Linked DNA regions of Arabidopsis thaliana. The protein of the gene in region 1 interacts with the protein of each later gene in a pairwise test. Each region holds a gene or a part of one and is shown in the gene's direction. Other genes may lie near its edges.

Region 1 (8,469 bases):
AGACGGACAAGAATGGTCGCGACTGATGCAGCAGTTAATGACTTAAAGTGGAAAACCCGAAAACACATCAAACGGACAACTAAACGGAGTCCTCAGGTTCATATTCTTCCCTGGTTTTTCACTTAAAAACCAACATAATAATCTCTTGAGGGTATGATATATAGAGCAATTTCATTTATTCAATTTTAGATGAGTTTTCTCAAACCTTTTTGTAATGTTTCCCATTGGAAAATGGACAAGTTCACATTAAAAAGGTTTTGGACTTAATAATTTGCCAGATTTTTGGATCTTTTTTTTTTTTGAACTGGATCAGTGGATCTATAACTAGAATTTGATGATTATGTAATATAAGAAATTCTAATCACAACTATGTATAGAGGAGATATTAGCTTAGATCTTAGATTTAAAGCTTGTTTCATTCTTTGATGTTTTATTCAAGTTTAACACATTTACCATTGAAATTTGTATTCTTATTCAATTATAGATTTATAGTATGTATTTGTTGATATCTCTCACTTTTTAAACTCAACAAACTCTACCAAAATCAAACTACCAGCAGCTATTAGAATTTTGAACTATTGTTGGACCACCAATGTGTGAAGAGAATCATATCTCTTAATCCCCACAAATTCATGAGAAGGAAAATAAAAAAGCAACAGTTGAGATCACTTTCCTTACAAGAATCAGAAAGAGACCCACTTTTGATGACATCATGTTTCAGAGACCCACAATCATATCTCTCTATATATGTATGTATCATAATGTGTGTATATGTGTTGTGAAGTAATAAGTAAGGGACTTTCATAGAAACAGAGCCTTATTGTACCTTTTGAGACACCATCCTCAAGCTGAAAGCTTCCTTCAACACTCTTCTTCCATTTTTGAAAATCTATCTAGTACATTTATTGTGAATTTCACACTGTCCATATCTTGTTTATTTATTAAAGTTATTAATGTTACATGTAGATGAAATGGACTGATTTGTGTATGTTTATAGCTATTTATGTAAGAAGAACAAGTAAAATATTGTATAAGTTCAGTAATGGTCGGCCTCAAATTTTTCCTATCATGAAATTTCTAAGTAAAAAAAGACAAGTCACATTACTTTAGGTAAAAAGTTGGCAAAACAAAAAGTGAAAGAAGGAAAGTCAAAACTCTTTATTTTATTGTCAAAAGTCAAATGTGTGCAAATGTAATATTGTTGACATTAAACAAAACAAATTAATGTAAAGATTATTCATAATGGAGTAGCAAAACAAATCTAATTAAACCCAAAATATATAATATATGATATATCTCTAGAAAACTTTTATTTATATCTAGCACCAAATTTTGACTATTTGGATTTTTTGGTCGGGTACTTTAGCCACCGGATATTAAATGCATCATACAAACTTTCAAATTAGGTGGAAACAAAATATATGTACGTATATATATATATATATATATTAATAAATCACTTTCAAAACTTTTAAAAGAAAATAAAAAAAAAGAATTTTAGATAAAAAGTAAAAGAGAAAAAGGGGAATATAAAAATGGAAAACAAATAAAGTTAGGAGAGAGGGCTCACTGTCCGAAGCAAAGAAAGAAATAGCAAAGTGAGTTAGACATGTGAGAGAGAAGAGATTCAAGTGTGTCCCCATTCTCTTTCCTATCCTTTAGTCAACAACACATCTCTCTCATATTTGGATATTTCTAATCAAGATCAAACTTTTTACAACAAGATTTGATTTTTTTTGTTCTTTTAAAATCTTAATTTGAATTAAGATGATATGAAGTCATTTCATACTAGTCTTGCCTCTTGTCAAAGTGTAACTGAATGAAATTTCAAGATTATATATTTATAAGAAAACCTAAAATTTTTAGATATATTTTGAAATAATCTTATAATTATCTATACTAATTAAAAATAAATTATAAATATATTATAGAGCAGTTGACCAAAAAAAATTACAGATAACTATTGAAGATATATAGACATGATTAGTTGAGGTGTAGAAAGTTTGTAAAGCCACTAAAATAGCTCCAAAATTGAAATAATCATGTTGTAGTTTTTTCTTTTTTCTAGCAAGAATAATATATTTTTGATTATTTTAAAAGGTTTGTACATTTTTCTCTTTTTATTTTCACTTTATTTTTTTAGTTTCTTTAGAAACATTATTATACTTTTCATATATATATATTGAATTTATCTTCAAATTTTGCATACATATTTTACCCACTAAACATGATTCCATATAAAAACGGAAAAAGTGTGTCACAGAAGAAATAATATATTACATGATATAATAATCTAAAATGTCAACTGTTTTCTTTAGAATATGTTAGAAAAGATTTTTTTTTTAAATCTTTATTGGTAGCAATGTTTATGAGAATAAAGCACATAATTGTCTCTCAATGACTAATAAATTTCGGTTTCAGTCAAAGATCTAACGAGATATTAGATTTGTAATAATCATCAAAGAAAGTCTATCCTTTTTATTAAAAACAAATATTCTTAAACAAACTAATACTTTAAATAAACTATTCTTAAACAAACTAATACATTAAATATTCTTAAACAAACTAATACATTAAATATTCTTAAACAAATATTCTTAAACAAACTATGCTTAAATCTTTCATAATAATCTTTCTCTCAATTGAATTTATCTTTCACAAAATTAAATAACAAATCAATTAAAGAGATATATAAATACGAAAAACAATGGTCGTCACTCTCGTTCAGCTTCTTTAGTTTTCTTCTAACTTTCAGAGAAAGACCTCTCTCAATTCAAAAGTTCACAATATTAAAAGTATAAATCAGAATCATTAAACTGTTAGTCTCTCTCTCTCTCTCTCTCTCTCTCTCTCTCTCTCTCTCTCTCTCTCTCTCTCTCTCTCTCTCTCTCTCTTTTTCTCTTCTTCTCCCTGAATTGTCTCATCTGTCTTCTTCCTTTGTCTCTCCTCTGATATACATTGTGTTCTCCTTCTCAGAAACCCTAGATTTCTCTCAATCAAATCTAGCTTTTCTCTTAGGGGGAGATTTGATTTTTTTCTCTGCAAGACTGTAACAGTAGGAGAAGCTACTTTCCTCTGTTTTCTTAATTTCAAATCTGCAATCGTACTTTTTCGAGTTCTATAAGTGAACTCAGATTTTAGCTTTTTTTTTTTAGGGTTCATAAGAACAAATTGGATTTTGAGCTCACAGTATAAATAACCCGACTTTGATTACTGGGTAATTTTAAAACCGCCATTGTTGTTCTCTTTACTACTTTTGGGAATTAGGGTTTATGATTTCTGGGTATTAGATTAGATAAATTTGTTTCCTTTTTTTGTTAATCAATTTAAAAATCTCTTATTTCTGTTAAAGACTTGTAATTTTGGAGTTTTTAATGCATGGACGGAAGAGAAGCAATGGCATTTCCAGGCTCGCATTCTCAGTACTATCTTCAAAGAGGAGCCTTTACTAATCTCGCACCTTCCCAAGTCGCGAGTGGGCTTCACGCGCCGCCGCCACATACGGGATTGAGGCCAATGTCTAACCCTAACATTCATCACCCTCAGGCTAACAATCCAGGACCTCCTTTCTCGGATTTTGGACACACCATTCACATGGGAGTGGTCTCCTCTGCTTCTGATGCTGATGTGCAACCGCCACCGCCACCGCCACCACCAGAGGAACCGATGGTTAAGAGGAAACGTGGACGGCCAAGAAAGTATGGAGAACCGATGGTTAGTAATAAGTCTAGGGACTCTTCTCCAATGTCTGATCCTAATGAACCTAAACGGGCCAGAGGTCGACCTCCTGGAACTGGAAGGAAGCAACGCTTGGCTAATCTTGGTGAGATCTCGAGTTTTCTATTCTGTGTACTTTGTCAAGTTAAGTTTTTGCTTTAGCTCTGTTAGCTAGTCTTGAAGGACATGAGCTTGAATCTTATGGATGCTAGAAGCTTTGAATGATTCTATAGTTAAGTTAGGTTTTGTTACTTTGTCGTTACTGATACTCAATATTGATTGTTGGCTATTAGTTTGACGGATCTATGTGTGGTACAATGCTAGGTGAGAGGAGTAATTGGTTATTAGTAGATGTGGACGAAATCGACTTCTTGATTTAAGTTATTGATTTAGGTTTTTAAGCTGTGAAAGAGTAATCTTACTAATCCATTCATGTTTAAGTAATTGGTCATCATAATGTGATTAATCAAACTTTAAGTAATAGCAAACTCTTGACTCTGATAATTTCTTTAGGTGAGTGGATGAATACTTCAGCTGGACTTGCTTTTGCACCTCATGTGATCAGCATTGGAGCAGGAGAAGTAAACTGACCAAAACTCCTTTATATATTAATGATCATTTATGCAGCTTTTCATTGTATCAATTTCCTTTTATTTTTCTTTGCAGGACATTGCTGCGAAAGTTTTGTCATTTTCACAACAAAGACCTCGGGCTCTTTGTATAATGTCAGGCACTGGAACCATTTCTTCAGTCACTCTGTGCAAACCCGGTTCAACCGATCGTCACTTAACATACGAGGTTTCAAAGTCGTTCATTCAGTTAATCGAAAAAGAAAAACCTGAAAAGATTTCTTATTTAATCCTCTTTCTGTGTTTCTTAGGGACCTTTTGAGATTATAAGTTTTGGTGGATCTTATTTGGTGAATGAAGAAGGTGGATCCAGAAGTCGAACAGGCGGATTGAGTGTCTCTCTTTCTCGTCCCGATGGTAGTATTATTGCCGGTGGAGTTGACATGCTTATCGCAGCCAACCTTGTTCAGGTATATTAAATTCTTCTTCTTAATGGTTGTAAAGTGAAGCTAAAACGAGGCGAAACTAACTACGAATGTTAGCCTTTGATATGTTTGTGCTGTCACTTTCTTTCCTCTTCAAGATATCATGTGGTAGTGTTTGAAAAACTTGTTTGTTATTCAGGTGGTGGCATGTAGTTTTGTATACGGAGCAAGGGCAAAGACTCATAATAACAATAACAAGACCATCAGACAAGAAAAGGAACCAAATGAAGAGGACAACAATAGTGAAATGGAGACCACACCGGGTAGTGCAGCTGAACCAGCAGCATCTGCGGGTCAGCAGACGCCACAGAACTTCTCTTCTCAGGGAATAAGGGGGTGGCCCGGTTCAGGCTCAGGCTCTGGCAGATCACTTGACATTTGCAGAAACCCACTCACTGATTTTGATTTGACTCGTGGATGATATACACTATTAGTCTTTGAAGCAGCAGCATACAAAATGTGATTGCTGTACATATGTTATTGTAGATTTCTCTCTGGGAATGTTGAAATCAGACATTTAAGGATTGATACTAGATCTCTCAGCTCCTTCTAACATTGTTAATGTAACAGAACCCTCCCACTTTCATGCTATTTTAGGAGATTTTTTTAACTCTTTTATGATCTCATTGTGGTCATCAAGAACTTGGTTTCTTTACTAGTTCACTATTTTTCTTTCAGGTTCTTTAACATATTTAGTAAACTTGATTCCTCTTATTTGGTAGACAATGTGTAATTCAACACACACAAGATTTAGGATCCTTAATTTATAGGAAGATGACAAGCTCATAATTTATACATGAAAAGCATTAAATATTAATGAATATATATCCTCAAATTGACTTAAATTTCTTTTTCAGTCAGAAATCTAATGAGACATTAGATTTTGTTATAAACCATTGAAGAAAGTCTATATCCTTTTTAATAAAAAAAATTCTTAAACAACCCAATTTATTTTTTTTGTAAACCAATTGAATATTTTTTTTTGACAAAATTAATTAAAGAAATAGTATATAAATAGAAACAATGGTCTTCACTTCCTTTCTCTTCTTTTTTTTTCTTTCCTTTTTTTTTTCTGAGATTTGCTTTCTCTACCAGAGAGACTGTAACAGTAGTAGTAGCTACTTTTGCTTGTTGTCTTCATTTCAAATCTGCAATTTTACTTTCTTTTTGAGTTCTAAGTGAACTCAACATTTAGCTTCTTTTTCTTTTCTAGGTTTCATAAAAACAGTTTGGATCTTAAGCTCACAGCTGAAAATAACCCGACTTTGATTACTGGGTATATAAAAGCCGCCATTGTTGTTCTTTTCACTCTTTGGGTTATTAGGGTTTACGATTTCTGGGTGGTAGATAAATTTGTTCTTCAAAAAAGTTTCCTTTTTTAAAAAATCTCTTAGATTCTTAAAGAATTGTAATTTAGGGTTTTAAATGCATGGATGGGAGAGAAGCTATGGCATTTCCAGGCTCGCATTCTCAGTTCTATCTTCAGAGAGGAGTTTTTACCAATCTTACACCTTCCCAGGTCGCGAGTGGTCTTCACGCGCCGCCGCCACCTCCGGGAATGAGGCCAATGTCAAACCCTAACATTCACCACCCTCAGGCTAGCAATCCAGGACCTCCTTTCTCCATGGCTGAGCACAGGCATTCTGATTTCGGACACAGCATTCACATGGGGATGGCTTCTCCTGCTGCGGTGCAGCCTACTCTGCAGCTGCCGCCTCCACCGTCGGAGCAACCGATGGTTAAGAAGAAACGTGGAAGGCCAAGAAAGTATGTTCCTGATGGACAAGTTTCATTGGGGCTTTCTCCAATGCCTTGTGTTAGTAAAAAGTCTAAGGACTCTTCTTCAATGTCTGATCCTAATGCACCTAAAAGAGCCAGAGGTCGACCTCCCGGAACTGGAAGGAAGCAACGCTTGGCTAATCTTGGTGAGATCTCAAGTTTTTTCTGTGTACTTGATTAAGTTAAGTTGTTGTTTTAGCTCTGTTGGCTAACCCTTGAAGGATCTTATGATTAGATGAAAGTTTGAATGGTAGAAGCTATGTATGATTCTATGGTTATTTTAGGTTTTTGTTGCTTTAGCCTTACTGTTACTGTTACTCAACATTGATTGTTAGGTATTAAATTGACTGATCCATGTGTGGGTACAATGCCAGTTGAGATGAGTAATTGGTCATTAGAATGTGGTAGTCAACTCGATATTTGACTTCTTGATTTATGGACACAATTTGTAAGCTTTGGCACAACTTTCTTCTATGTACATTGTGAAGAACACGAGCTGGGGTCTTATGATTAGGTAGATTTTGGTTGCTAGAAGCTTAATGATTTTATGGTCAAATTAGTATTGATTTGGCTCTGTTGTTACTGCTACTCAACATCGGTTGTTAGGTATTAACTATGAGAGTAATTTGACTGATCCATTTGTGTTGAGATAAGTAAATGGTCATTTAACTCTGTTAATTACCTTAGGTGAGTGGATGAATACATCAGCTGGACTTGCTTTTGCACCTCATGTGATCAGTGTTGGATCAGGAGAAGTAATCTCTAAAAACTCCTATCAATCTTAATGAGTTATGCAGCTTTTCATTGTTTCAATTTCCTTTTATTTTTCTTGCAGGATATTGTTTCGAAAGTTTTGTCTTTTTCACAAAAAAGACCTCGGGCTCTTTGTATAATGTCAGGCACTGGAACGGTTTCTTCAGTCACTCTGCGTGAACCCGCTTCAACAACGCCTTCCTTAACATTTGAGGTTTCAAAATCGTTCATTCAGTTAATCCAAAAAAGAACCAAACCGTGGAGAACTAAAGATTCTTTATCCCTTCTTTGTGTTCTTTAGGGACGTTTTGAGATTCTAAGTTTAGGTGGATCTTATCTGGTGAATGAAGAAGGTGGATCCAAAAGTCGAACAGGCGGTTTGAGTGTCTCTCTTTCTGGTCCTGAAGGTCATGTTATCGGCGGTGGAATTGGAATGCTTATCGCAGCCAGCCTCGTTCAGGTATTTCAAAATTGGTTTGGCTCCATTAAGTTTTGTTTTGGTTGTAATTGTTTGGTATAACATTTGTGCTACCTGGAATACAAAAGTTCAAAATACGGTTCTGGTACGGTTTGAGAAATTTTGTTTGGATTTGTTTATATGTAATGTGACTCTTAAACTAAATTTTTTTGTTGGTTGTTATTTTGAAGGTGGTGGCTTGTAGTTTCGTGTACGGAGCAAGTGCAAAGTCTAATAATAACAATAACAAGACCATCAAACAAGAAATAAAACCTAAGCAAGAGCCGACCAATAGCGAAATGGAGACCACACCTGGTAGTGCACCAGAAGCTGCAGCATCGACGGGTCAGCATACGCCACAGAACTTCCCAGCTCAGGGAATGAGCGGATGGCCCGTTTCAGGCTCAGGCTCAGGCAGATCACTTGACTCTAGCAGAAACCCACTCACTGATATTGACTTGACTCGCGGGTGATTCAAAACAAAAACATTATTAGTCTTTCTTCCTATTTACTCCGACTACTACCCTTTAGTCTTGGAAGCAGCAGCAGCAGCATACATTATGTGAGTGCTGTACATATCTTTGTTGTTGTAGATTTCTCTCTGGGAATGTTAAAACCAGACATTTCAGGATTGAGACCAGAACTCTCAGTTCCTTATTGTAACATTCTCAATGTAACAGAACCACCCCACTTTCAGGCTACTCAACGA
Region 2 (6,617 bases), on another chromosome or scaffold:
CATTGTCAAGTACTTGAATGTTTCATTTGTCATGTTTATGTGTCTTCTAGAGATCATTCACTCTCTTCGAGAGATCATCAAAATATTTATTTCCTCAATTTGGTCATTTTTAATTTTGTGCTCCTTCTCTTTTACGAGGATATTTCTATTTGGAACCAAGGTCTATTATGTTTAATGTGATCTTAAGACTCAATAGCAGTTTGAAATTGGTCCTTACAGGACATTCATTCTATTCTGGAGCATTTAATTTATAACTGGTATAGGTGACTTCATCACTTTATTTAGGTCAGCAAATGCGTCTGGCAATTACAACGCTAAATTCTGTAATTGAATTATTTTTTGGACTCTTAATATACATTCTTTCCTCCGAGGATCATTGATAATTCATTTCTATTTATCTTTTTCACCAGCTGTATACATTCTCCCCCTTATGTTGGAATAGCTGACTATATAATATGATAGTTTTCAAAACGAGCGGTATATAAATCCTTCTAGGATGGCTTAGTTATCATTCATATCCAACATGTATTCTTATCCTCCTTTGAGGGTTCATCTCTGCGTGCTGTGGTGGAGCACTTTTCACATTCAAAGCTTTTAGATGAAAACTATTTGGTTTCTGACCCAAAACCAATAATAATGGGGAAAACTATTAATTATTCATTGGCTTGATGCGTATCGATGTTACTAAACCATTTTGTGTATGAACATGAATTTCAAAATGTTAAACACTTATCCCAACGAATATCCAATAATGGTTATTATAAATAAACACTGAAATACTCTTGTACTTTAATCAAGAAAGTAATCTCGCAAACTCTATGTTGCGGGTTTATAACAAGGATAAATATGACCTTTTTGTCGATGCAACAATCGAGTCAATGCGTCCATTGAATCGATGCATCTTTTATAACCATTAGGTATCTAAATGTCATATAGTGGGTGATCAACCCATAATTATCTCCTTGTATATACTTACGAATAGATAAAGTCCAAATTACTTACACTGGTAAAAATCACATTATCATATTGCTTTTTGAGCAAGTAACATTTGATAAATCATTAGGGAGAATTTTATGGTTTTTCACCTAATGTCCACATAATTCTCAATACTTTCACATCATCATTAAACCAGGATGACCAATCCGGTTAAGATAAATATACTTTTGAAATTTTTAATTCATTTGAAACTTCTAGTTCTTTCAAAACTTCTAATTTATTTTTCATTGCTTATCAGTTACTCCCTTAATGAGATCTTATAATCAAAATTACGTCCATGTATTTTAATAATCAATCATATGTTAATAAAACAATAACGAGATAATAATTAAAATTTTATATTCTAGTATAAACGATATTAAATTTGACTAACTATGTAAGATCTTATATTCACTTCAGAATATGAGTATTACCTATCATCGATAACTCATATATTTTCTTAGCCTTTGAAAAACACTCGATTTAAGTTTATAATAGTTCTCAAAATTTCTTTCAAAATATTGTGTCTACAGGACAACAATACTTGCGTAAAAGTTTAAGCGTCTGTTTTACCATCTCTGCATCATAGATATTCTCTTAACAATGTGAGTTATATTCACAAAGAGACTTCAAGTCTTGAAGTTTCAGTAATAACTAATTATATCTTATTTTATCTGATAACACATTCGTATAAGAATTGCTTTATACAACTTTTAGATCTTTAGTAGTCAAAGATTGAACATAATCTTCTGGATATGTCACTTATTATCGATGTGAGATTCATTATTTCTCCTCCTCGAAATGATGAAACTTCAAGTTCATCTATCTCGTTTTTAATTCCACTCTAGAATCATAATGTATTTTATATCTCATCATATTAACTTTAAGATTTGGAGAATTATACCCCATCGATGATTTTAATTTTGTATTCCCATAGAAAGCAATGTATATGCTCTTCTAGAGTCTTTTAATAAGATTTATACTACTTGATATACTAGATTATTTCATCGTTAGAAATTTTTCTTATTTTTTTTTTTTTTTACCATATTTATTTTCTCAATTTCTGGTGATAATTTAAGTTCTTGAAAAAACTTTGACCATCAAAAATATGATATCTTTTTAAGATACATTAAAATAGTCATTCATAAAAATTTCTATAAGTGATTATACCTTTAAATTAAGTTATTTATCAATCAATTTATTTCATAAAATAATCAAATATTATATATTAATATAATTTTAATGCAATATTGTAAAACCAATCAGAATAAAACTACTTTGTGCAAAATCTGGATTTTACATATATCTTGACAAAACTTTTATTTAGGGTAATATGAATTCGTGCAAGATTTGGGTAAAATGATTTCGTGCAAAATTACGACAAAACCATGAACAATTTTTTTTTAGATACCACAAAGATTTAGAGAAAAGAATCTTATAAAAAGAAAAATTATCTTGCAACGTTTTTAGTAAAAATAATAATAACACAATCAAATATATGGAAATCTTATAAAAAGATTTAGATAATAATAACACAAAGATTTAGATATATGGAATCTTATAAAAAGAAAAATTATCTTGAAATGTTTTTAGTAAAAATAATAATAACACAATCAAATATATGAAAATCAAATATTTAATATGGAAAAGTCAATATCTAAAAGTGATAAGATATGTATAACGTTTTAATCAAAGGAGTTAAATAAGGGATATCATATCAATCATAAATGGATTTTAGACAATATAATATTTATAAAATGATATTGAATATAGATGCAACTATTCAAAACTGGAATGCTAAAACATTAATACATGCTTGCATCACCCACCACCGGGTTATGAATAGTTACAAAGTTAGTTATATAATTATAAAATTGGTAATTTATATATTCAATATTGTAATAGTAAATCACAAAAATTAACAATTAACAAGCATGATTCTCTTCTTTAACGATTTTCTTTGTAGAATCATTGAATCATGCGATAGTAATTATAGAAACAAATGATAAGCATTATTCTCTTCTTTATTGAATCATTGAAAACATGCTTTTACCGATCTATACTATAATCATCGATCGGCTCATATTGTTTTGTTTCAATAATAGAAAATAAGTACTATGAACCATGAGTCGATAAGTAAACATGGTTCTTAAAAAAAATGTAAGAATCTCTATATCTACCTTTTAGAACGTGCTGATAACGTGTTATAACCAGAGAAAGAGATAAAAGAAATGAGTGTGTTATTCCATTGAGATAAATGGTTCTTTATATAGGAGTACAAAAAAAAGATAAAACCCTAAAAACATCTAGATGATGGGTTTAGATGAGGGCCTTATAATGGACATCCATCTTTATTCATAACAAAAATCAATTATAATGAAAATCGAAACATTTGTTTTTTTTTAGGAAAAGACCATATTTAATTAAATGTTTTGGTTTTCCTTAAATAAGTTTTCTATTTTTTTATTTATTTCCTCCCTTTTCATTATAACTGGTTGATTTTCTAATACAATTTTCCTCTTTAGAAACTATTAAAAAGAGCTGTGTCTGGCACGTGTCAATCATGTATAAAACAATATATTTGCGTAAATGCCATTGCCACACACTCACTCACTCGTAGTTTCGACGCTATCTCTAGAACATTCCGATAAACCACAAAGAAGAAGCAGAGCAAAAGTAAAGAAGAAGAAGAAAACAAACATGTCGTGGCAGACTTACGTCGACGATCACTTAATGTGCGATGTTGCAGGCAACCGCCTCACCGCCGCCGCAATTCTCGGCCAAGACGGTAGCGTCTGGGCTCAGAGCAACAATTTTCCTCAGGTTAGGGTTTATTTCTATACCGACTACTCAATTCTTATCATCTTGCTGTTTCTGGTTTGGTTCTATGTTGAAATCTGCAACCTTTGGTTTTGTTTAGCTACTAAACCACCAAAATTCAGCAATTTTCAATGTTTGGTTTTGATTTTCTGATTCATATGTTCTTGAGGTTATAGAGTGCAAAAGATGCATTAGAAGAAGTTCGAATCACAAGTTTAAAGCTCTTTTAAGAAGAAAGTTTTGACCTTTGGAAATAGACAAGTTCTTTGTACTGGTTATGTTGTTCATAAGTTATTAAGTTGCTTTCATGAGATGTTTAAGAGAGACTGAATTTGTTTCTCTTATAGTTTTTGTATTGTTGTTGTTTTAGGTGAAGCCTGAGGAAATTCAGGGCATCAAAGACGATTTTACTACACCTGGAACACTTGCCCCAACAGGATTGTTCCTTGGTGGTAACAAGTACATGGTAATCCAAGGAGAGCCTAATGCCGTCATTCGAGGAAAGAAGGTAACTAGACTGTTTGAATATTGTTTGATTTTTGATGAACTGTTGTTGATTTTGCTTCCATTGTAGGGAGCTGGTGGTGTTACCATCAAGAAGACCACCTTAGCTTTGGTATTTGGTATCTATGATGAACCAATGACTCCTGGACAATGCAATATGGTTGTGGAGAATCTCGGTGAGTACCTGATTGAATCGGGGCTCTGAAACTTAAGCTGCTACTATATTCATATTGCTTTATGTAATCTTCTAGTTGTGTCGTGAGAGAAAAACTATTCGATAATCCGACTGTGTATTACCTACCTTGTGATGGATCTTGGGGTTGTATGATTATTTCTAAAACAATATAGTATTGTCTACATTTGTGTCGAGTTGAAATATTTAATGAATGGCAGTGTGGTACCATAGCTTTAGAGTTCATTATTGGTTATGCAGATTGAGATTTTTGTGTATTATAGTGAGGATGATTAAGATCACAAGACTGTGGTTACACAATTGATATCAGACAAGTTTTCAGATAGAATGTCTGTACAACGATTCCACTGCAGGAAGAAAGACAAAATCGTTAGACGGTGTCACAATTTCTAGACCAAACTATTCAGGAACAAATTTTGCTTTTTCTTGCTATTGCTACATTTCTTTCAGATTTCGGTTACAGTGCCTGTGAATTCATAGTTTGCAAACTGAAGAACAACGAGATCATGAGACAGAGTTTCAAAATCCATTGGAGTAGTTCGTTTCCACGTGGAGTTGAAGCAGAGGAGGTCAATGCAGTTGCATTCGTCGCCTTGGTTTTGTTCCTGCAGAAAGATTTTAACAAAACAGTAAGAATATGTATTTACTGTTCTTCAATTTGCATATGAATCAACTATCTTTATGACATACCCTCCTGCAGTAATGTATATGCATTTGTCATAACCTGTAACAACGACATTGAATCAGATTAAGGTAAAGATCAAGACTGTTGATTTGTGATTTTGGAGAAGCAAAAGCTGGAGATTTTGTTTACTTACTAGGGTCCTTGTTGACTTTAACACCAGCTCCTCCAAAGCTGCAAGCAACGTCTGTTGCTCTGTTCTGTTGGAAATAGCTATTGAACACGAAAGAAGCATGAGAAACCAAAGTATCTGGTTGAAAACAAGGCTGGCTTGGCTGAATAGCTGTGCAATCAACATTTCCAGGACCACAAGCCCAATCCAAAGCACCTTTCAGATCTCTCTCTGAAGCTTTAGAAGAAGCAATGCACCAGCTATTACTACTCCCACTTGAGTTTGTACCACTCGAATTAGAGTGAAACCCGTTGCTCTTTCCCGTGAAATCCAACTGATAAACACTTGTCTGGTCAGGGTAGAACAATCCCCAGTTTCTCTCTGAATCCAAACCCGCTTTCCGATTCTCGTTGAACAATGAGAATATATAAACGTTCATTGCCTCTCCTGGCTTTGCAGGTGTGCCTTGGTTGGTAACTACATGACGGATTATGTTTGAATTGTATGTCTCCGCGTTGTCAGAAGACGCAGCAGCTTTCTCCTTCGGTGAACCTTTGGTTGGCCATCCAGTCTCAGTAACCATAATCTTGATTGTCCTGAAGTTTAAAGCCGTGAGAGCGTAATAAAGAGCATCAACTTGAGCATCAAACATGTTCTTGTAAAGCAAACCCGTGTTTGGGTCAATCACTTCAGAGGAAGACTCAAACAACACATAATCCAAAGACACATTGTTCGGAGAGTCTCTGTAAGCGTAGTACGGATAAAGATCGATCATGAAAGGAGACTTATTCTCTGCAAGAAACTCTAACATTGGTCTCAAGAAATAAGCATAGCTGCTGTTGAATGCTCCAGCAGAAGGAGGGAAAGATCTAGAGAGAATTCCGAGGGAAAGAGTAGTCGAAACCTTGATTCTTCTACTCAAACCGACTTTTCTCAGAGCGGTTAAGACATTCTGCATCGCGGGGACAACGAAAGACGAAGCATTGATGTGTGGATCATCAGTAGATTCAGCTCCAACGGTAATGTAAGTGATCTTGGTCGTTGGATAGTATGGTAAGACGCTGTTCTTAAGCCAGGTGTCCACATTTGATTGGGATTGAGAGAAAGCGTTAAGATCAGAGTTTGGAACTCCAATCATTAGCTCAATGCTTGTGTTTCCAAATGCTTTGAGGACTTGAGAATTGTAATCGTAGATTCTAACGTATTTGATGTTGTGCTGTTGAATCAATTGAACAACTTTTGACGGTGTTGGAAGATCGTCGGCGCTTCTTCCGTAACAAACTCCGACCTTGCCACCGTAACAACAGTCTACAAAATTTGGGGAAAAAAGA

Evidence for each region. Proteins that work in one complex are often made in the same cells at the same time.
Region 2: the proteins of AT1G63480 (region 1) and PRF3 interact in a two-hybrid assay, tested with the Arabidopsis thaliana proteins (one large-scale study listed by BioGRID).

The regions. Positions count from the first base shown.
Region 1 is NC_003070.9:23,536,595-23,545,063, reverse strand, and holds AT1G63480 (AT hook motif DNA-binding family protein), read left to right. Parts: upstream 1-2,830; 5' UTR 2,831-3,378; coding exon 3,379-3,823; intron 3,824-4,230; coding exon 4,231-4,298; intron 4,299-4,383; coding exon 4,384-4,515; intron 4,516-4,597; coding exon 4,598-4,756; intron 4,757-4,910; coding exon 4,911-5,192; 3' UTR 5,193-5,507; downstream 5,508-8,469. Other genes in the region: AT1G63490 (transcription factor jumonji (jmjC) domain-containing protein), read left to right, coding at 1-126; AT1G63470 (AT hook motif DNA-binding family protein), read left to right, coding at 6,201-6,696, 7,238-7,305, 7,386-7,517, 7,605-7,763, 7,952-8,233. UniProt on the Arabidopsis thaliana protein: Transcription factor that specifically binds AT-rich DNA sequences related to the nuclear matrix attachment regions (MARs).
Region 2 is NC_003076.8:22,907,769-22,914,385, reverse strand, and holds PRF3 (profilin), read left to right. Parts: upstream 1-3,675; coding exon 3,676-3,798; intron 3,799-4,165; coding exon 4,166-4,303; coding exon of another isoform or gene 4,304-4,369; coding exon 4,370-4,504; downstream 4,505-6,617. Other genes in the region: AT5G56590 (O-Glycosyl hydrolases family 17 protein), read right to left, coding at 4,950-5,097, 5,183-5,216, 5,311-6,594. UniProt on the Arabidopsis thaliana protein: Binds to actin monomers and regulates the organization of the actin cytoskeleton. Can increase the critical concentration (Cc) of actin assembly in vitro.